Linked DNA regions of Cricetulus griseus. Each later gene encodes a partner of the first gene's protein in a complex. Links are inferred from orthologs where the notes say so. Each region holds a gene or a part of one and is shown in the gene's direction. Other genes may lie near its edges.

What was found.
Region 2: Cnot9 (region 1) and Cnot7 share a complex: the UniProt entries of both Homo sapiens proteins name them as parts of the CCR4-NOT complex. The link is inferred for Cricetulus griseus from reciprocal best matches to the Homo sapiens genes CNOT9 and CNOT7.

Annotation. Positions count from the first base shown.
Region 1 is NC_048595.1:427,767,032-427,770,687, forward strand, and holds part of Cnot9 (CCR4-NOT transcription complex subunit 9), read left to right. Parts: intron 1-1,717; coding exon 1,718-1,827; intron 1,828-2,789; coding exon 2,790-2,899; intron 2,900-3,656. UniProt on the Homo sapiens protein: Component of the CCR4-NOT complex which is one of the major cellular mRNA deadenylases and is linked to various cellular processes including bulk mRNA degradation, miRNA-mediated repression, translational repression during translational initiation and general transcription regulation.
Region 2 is NW_023276807.1:45,216,003-45,219,658, forward strand, and holds part of Cnot7 (CCR4-NOT transcription complex subunit 7), read left to right. Parts: intron 1-688; coding exon 689-882; intron 883-3,656. UniProt on the Homo sapiens protein: Has 3'-5' poly(A) exoribonuclease activity for synthetic poly(A) RNA substrate. Its function seems to be partially redundant with that of CNOT8.

The DNA of each region.
Region 1 (3,656 bases):
CTCTAATCGTACCGCCTTTCTCAAGGTCTGGGATTATAGCTGTATACCACCATACCCACGTTTCTCTGGTTTTCTTTGACATTGACATAAGTATTTCTTTCTTCTTTTTTATTTATTTATTTGTTTATTATATATACAATGTCCTGCCTGCAGGCCAGAAGAGGGTGCCAGATCTCATTACAGATGGTTGTGAGCCATCATATGTTTGCTGGGAATTGAACTCAAAACCTCTAGAAAAACAGCCACTGCTCTTAACCTCTGAGCCATCTCTCCAGCCCCTGACATACATATTTCTACACTGTTAAGTTTGACAGCTATTTTTAGTTTCTAGCTACAGATTTGAAGTAAGTATAATGTGTTTTAAAAATGAAGAAGAATACAATTCCATACTTTTTTAACATCATAAAAACAATTTTCAAAATAGTAATAAACACTCTGAACATAAGCGGTTCAACTAATTTAGTGATTTGCTGTATCCTAAGAGAAAAGATTTTGCTTGGTTACCTTAAAAATATTTTCTGTCAGTGATTCAATCCCAAATATGAAACCAGAGCTTTAAGCCTGGCATGGCGTGATGGTTCAGACCTGTAATTCCAGCACTCAGAAGGCTAAGACAAGAGGCTTGCTACAGAATGAGGCCCTGTTTCAAAAAATCAAAATTAAGTAATTATTTTATGTTCATTTCATTTAAATCAGAGTCATAGCTTTGAAGTTTTAAAGAGTGATGTTCATATCACAGGAAAGTAAATATATTTAGGTACATAGGCACTTTTTTTTTTTTTAATCATAGTAGACACCTGGCCATGATTGTTATAACCATTACATGGCATATAGTAGGAACTCAGTAAATTTATTTTTGTTGTTTGCGAGGGTGGGGGGGAGTTATTTTGTTGTTTTTTTCCTTCCTCTGTAGCTTGGGAGCCTGTCCTGGAACTCTATCCGTAGAGCATGCTGGCCTCGAGCTCAACAGAGATAGATCCACATGCCTCTGCAGCCGTGCCCCCTCCCCCAAGTGCTGGGATTAAAAGTGTGTGCCATCCACCTGTCTGTCGTGTGTGTGTGTGTGTGTGTGTGTGTGTGACTAATGTAGCTTCTCATGTCACTTTTTTCTCTCTTCTCCTTCTCCTCTCCCTATCCTCCTCTCCTCTCCCCTCCCCGCTTCTCTTATCTTTTGGAGACAGTGTCTCCAGGCCGGCCCCAAACTCATGATTCTCCTAATTTAGGAGTACCCTTGAGTTGTAGGAACTCAACAACATTGCAACAACACATTAGTTTTAGCATTTATGACTTGATCTTTTTTAAACCTAACATCGAGAACTTTTGAGTTCATCAGGTTTTAAGGTATTTGGTGCAGACTGCAGATTGTGTTGGTTTACTCACCCTAGCCTGGGTGGTTGTTACACATTGACACTTGAGCTGTCTGTATGATGTGTCAGTGAGGGCAAGCAGGTATGCTTCTAAGCAGTAGTCATCTCTGGCCTCTGACTGTATGCTAAGTAGCCCTCAACATTTCTTGCTTCTGATAATCTCCAAACATTGGCACATGTCTCCTAGGGAACAAAATTACACATTTCAGAAGGTTGGTCAAGGCTAAAAACCAATAAAGTTCGTTTCTAAAGATTACTTACTCTGGTGATTTCACGTATTGTTTTAGGCTTAGACATTTGATGTCTAGAAGGCAGCTCTGAGGTCTAAATATGGTTGTTTTTTCTTTCAGGTCGGCTTTTCTCGCAGCACACATCCCACTTTTTTTGTACCCCTTTTTGCACACAGTCAGCAAAACTCGTCCCTTTGAGTATCTTCGGCTCACTAGCCTTGGAGTTATTGGTAAGTTATTTTATTATTTTTGTTTTGATTTTCTTGAGATGGTCTCATGTAGTATAGGCTGGCCTCAAGCTCACTATGTACCTGAGGATACCCTTGAATTTTTTAGTTTCTGATGGTTTAACCTCCACCTCCAAAGTGCTGGGATTATAGGCATACATCGCCATACTTAATGCAGTGCTGGGGATTGAACTCAGGGTAAGACTGAAATTCTTCTGGTCAATAGTGGTCTGAGTTGTATTTTGTACAACTTCTTATAGCTTATTCATTTTTTGTCTTTGACATCTCATTTACTGATAAGTGCTTGCAAAGTTAGCAGGCACCATTCTCAATGTTGCTAGTAAAGCTGTAAGGATCAATAATCATTTAGCATCAAGTTATAGAGGGAGTAAGGAATAACTTGATCGATCAACTTTTGGGGGGGGGTATTTGAGACAGGATTTTCTCTCTGGCTTTGGGGGCTGTCCTGGAACTAGCTCTTGAAGACCAGGCAGGTCTTGAACTCACAGAGATCCTCCTGCTTCTGCCTCCCAAGTGCTGGGATCAAAGGTGTGCGCCACCACCACCCTATTGATCAACTTTATCTAAGTTGAATGAACTTAGTTTAGTAACTCAGAGCCTTGTATTAGGCTAGTGTTCTTAACACTGAGCACTTTCTCCACTTGCTTTATTTTTATTTTTTAAATTTTGACACAACATCTCTTTAATTTGCCGGGGCTGGCCTTGAACTCAGCATTTCCCTGCCTATGCCTTCCCAATACTGGGATTGCACTCATGACTCTGCTGCTGACTCTTTTTTGTTGTTGTTGTTCAAATGAATATGAAACTGATTGCCTGACACAGAAACTACAGTCTGCATATCATATTACTTAAATTCCATAGCTTGCTTTGATGGGACAGTTCATAGTAAATGTAATTAGAAATAATTTCTTTAAAATAATTTTGTTTGTTCATATTTTCTTTAGGGGCCTTGGTTAAAACAGATGAACAAGAAGTAATCAACTTTTTATTGACAACAGAGATAATCCCTTTGTGTTTGCGCATTATGGAATCTGGAAGTGAACTTTCTAAAACGGTATGTGCTTTTAAGTGAGATTCAAAATTGTTTTGGCTCTCGAGCTCTTGCTTTGTGGCTCTAGAATCATTTTCTGCCTCTCCTGGGAAGTTAGAGCAAAAAGTCAAGGCAAGCACTGATGCAGAGACCATGGAGGAGTGCTGCTTACTAGCTGGTTTCATGTAGTTTGCTCAACCTGCTCTCTTAAAGCTATGTAGCCCTTACTGGCCTGATACTGTATAGCACAGGCAGACCTCAAATTTGGAACAGTCCTGCCTCAGGTTCCTGAGGACTGGAATTACGGACATGCAGCACCATACTAGGCTTTGTATTTAGCTTTCTTGTATGATACAACACCTTGATCATAGTAGGCACACATTAAAATAAAGGTTCTTGGTCAAGGCTGTTAATGAATGATGTAATAAACTGGGAAGTATTTTTAAAATATAGGGATATGGCTGGAGAGGTGGTTCAGTAGTTAAGAGCACTGGTTTGATTCCCATCACCTGTATGGTGGTGGCTCACAACCACCTATAACTCCAGTCCCAGGGGATCCGTTGCCCTCTTCTGGCCTCCGTGAGCACTGATTGTACATGGTGTACAGATACACATGAAGGCAGAATAGACAAATCTTTCATTTAAACATGGAGCTAGAGAAATGGCTTAGTAGTTGAGCACTTGCTGCACAACCATGTTCAAATTTAGCACCCGTGTATCAAGCTGGACATCCTGTGTATACCTATATCCCAACTCTGAGCAGATAAAGCTAGGAGAATCA
Region 2 (3,656 bases), on another chromosome or scaffold:
TTTAATATTGGCTTACTATTTCATTTTCATTTTTAGCTAGCCTTAATTTGAATTCTCCTGCTAAACTAAAACATAATTTTCTTAGTATCACAAGTTTTTAAAAAAGTGCTTCTCTGAGGGTGCTTGCTTAAAATAGGAATATCTATACATAGACATTCCATGTATTAGAGGTATAACTTATCCATAATTGGGGCTGAAACTTTCTGTTTGGGCAGAGAGGGTTACTTTATAGGCAGCAAAAAATTCCTAGTTGTCATTTATTTCTTGGATGATAAGGAATTGCAGTACAGAAATAATAACAGCCTGTAAGAGGGAGTGGGAATCTTGACATGATTTCTGTGGGTTTTCTTTTCCTTGGATACGAAGCAAATGTTTGCTTGAGTTTATCATGAGTTATCTGTACAGGGTAATAATTTATTGATAAATTTTAATAAGAAAAAGTAGTGAGTCCGAGGCCAGCCTGGTCTACAAAGGGAGTGCCAGGACGGGCTCCAAAGCTACAAAGAAACCCTGTCTGGAAAAAAAAATAAATAATATTCTTCATACTTGAAGAGTACCTAATTGAGTATGAACATACAGAATATCATTGTAATAGAATTCTCTGAATTATATCTGAAATTATCTTGAGAGTTTATGGATCCTATTTATGCCCATTTAGTAAATAATGAATCTTAAAATTATTTTTCAGGACACTGAGTTTCCAGGTGTTGTTGCAAGGCCCATTGGAGAATTCAGGAGCAATGCTGACTATCAATACCAACTATTGCGATGTAATGTAGACTTGTTAAAGATAATTCAGCTAGGACTGACATTTATGAATGAGCAAGGAGAATACCCTCCAGGAACTTCAACTTGGCAGTTTAATTTTAAATTTAATTTGACGTAAGTGGGAAATAAATATATAACCCCAACTTTTTGTTTCTAGTTTAATTTTAGGAATTGGGTTTAAATGTAGTGAAATTCTAACTGAATAAATTTCCCGGAAATTTATTAAATTTAGAGTTTCAAAAGCTTAGGCTTATTATTATGAGGCAAAAGGGATTGAGATAATAAAAGCTTCTAATTTCAAATACCATTCAGTGATAGAGATGTTATTTCTAAACTGTGACTGCTGCTTTTCCAGAAAGTTGTAAAATTGTATTTTTGTTGTTGTTTGCTGTTATTTAAGGTGCTGCAGATTAAACCTGGGTCCTAAAACATGAATCTTAGGATATTGATTTTACTATTACATTTTGTTGTTGTTTGGCTCTTTTGAGACAGGGTCTTACTACATAGCCCAGGTCTCTACGTAGACCATGCTGGCCTCAAACTCCCAGAGATCCATCTGCTTCTGCTTCCCAAATGCTAGGATTAAAGGTGTGTGTTACTACACCTAAAACTTTGACTTTTTTGTACCCAATATGAAATTCAAAAGTGGGGAGGCACATTTGCTGCTCCCAATCAAGCAGGTACCATTCAGCTACAACCCCATCCCACTGTAGATTTGTTAAGATTTTGTTGAAATAGTCACTGTTCCTGTGAAGAGATTTTTTATTTTATTACTCTCATACTTTGCATCTTAAGTAGATACTTACTTACCATATGCAATAAATTGTTTCTTGGAAAGTTAGTTATGTTTTCTTTTCAAACTCTGTTCTTTAATGACTGCTCCCATGTAACCCATGAAACCTCTTGATCTTCATACAGAAAATGTAATAGTATTCTTAAACTTTTCATATACCAGACTCTGATATGTAATTCAAATCTTGGGTCTAAAGTCTGTTGCCTTCATTTAAATAGTTCTACATTATTTATTGTAGTCTTGGTAGCTGAGGGAACTTCATGAAGTAGAGTCCATCCTTTTGACATTATGACACATGTTTTTATTTGCAAAGGTCATACTCAAGAACCATGCAGTTGAGATTTTAGCAATGAAAACAAAAATAACAAAATTTTTAAAAAGTTTACACTTTTGTGTTGGGCTACATTGATAACTCATGGAGCTTATGTGACTTCTGAACTTCAGATTATAAGTTCCCAATAGGGGACAGGGGCGTATTATTTCTATTAAGGTAAGGAAATAAAACATACAGTATATTCTGCACTATGTAACAATATTTTAGTGCCTTTCTGTTTGGTAGCCTGTATTTGTATAATAGCAGAGTCTCGTTGGAAACATAGCAACAGAAACGAGAAGAAAATTAATGCTAGTTAATTGTAAGAATTCCTTGATTAATATGCACTATTTAATGTGTAAGACCTAATGAATAGCAAGCAGGACTGATGGTTTTAGTGGTGTTAGTGTCAGTGGTACAGCTGTGTGTCTTTTAAATGCATTGTGCTAACTATAAATAATACTGACAGTATTTTAATGTCTAGTACTATAGTGACATTAGTCTCTGTAGACTCTATACAGGCTAAAAGTGCTCATCTCCACTGTAATGTTATAATGTTTCTTTAATACTACAAATCTAGAGCAAACTGAAAATTGCCTTCCATCCTTTTCTCAAATGAAGATTCTTTTCTTTAGTTTTTTGTCATTTTTATTTCTTTAAAGTTCTTTTTTCCCCCCAAACTAAACATTAGAGCATTGATTTAGTTTTTTTGTTGTTGTTTTTTTTTTTTTAGTTTTGTTTGTTTATTTAAAATAAGATACTTGGTTTGGAGCAGTACTTAATACATCAGTGTGTTGGATGGTAAAATTGGTAGTTTTTGCTAGATAGTAGTTTTTATAGCAGTGGCTTTCATTTTAGTTAGTGTCTGAGCATGTTTTGTTTTTCCTTATTCACACAAGTAGTTTCACTGCCAAGTGTGTGCTACTATTTATACTAATGATAATGCCATGAGAAATGGTAGAGAAAAGAGTATAGAGTATAAAGGCTGATGAAAGGGCTCAGTGCATAGATGCCCTCCACCATGCTTGTTGACCTAAGTATGATTCTCGAACTGATATGGTAGGAGAGAACTGACTGACTAAAGTTGTGCTTTAACCTTCACATGTGTCTGTGATGAACATGTATAGGCACACACACACACAAAATAGATAAAGGTGAAGTTTAAAAAGTTTTAGAAGACTAAGTGAAAAATGTTAAGTAGAGCAAAAGCCATTGAGAAGATAAAAATGGAACTGCCTGATGTGGAAAATGTCGTGATAGCATCTTGGATGTGTTGAAGAATGGTGAAATAGACCTTGATGAATGCCTAGAAGGAATGTGTCAGTGTGTTAGGCTCTACAGTACAATGAGGAATGTTGTTCAATGTTATTATAACTTTCTGTCCTCTCTGTTGTCTCTGCTTGTAAATGTTTTTTGTGCTTAATTCTCATACTGGTCCAAGTCAGGGTGGTTCTAGGTTTGCCAGTGTTGTTTCTGGTTTTACCATTAGCATCATGAGAGTAAATGCAAGTCATTATTTATCACATGTAGATAACAAAGATTTGGAATATGGAAAGATATTTGTGGTTACAGTATATGTGTCACATTAATCGATACTTTGAGAAGATTTGAATAGATACTTCAGAGTATTGTACATACAATAAGAAATACCTGCACTCACTTCGATTTTTAGTTATAAGTCTTAGTATTCTCTGAATCTTGGAGATATGATTTGTAATATCTAAAAATCACTATTATGTAGCAAACATTTAGTAACAGATAGTGTTCTCTATGTGAAAATTA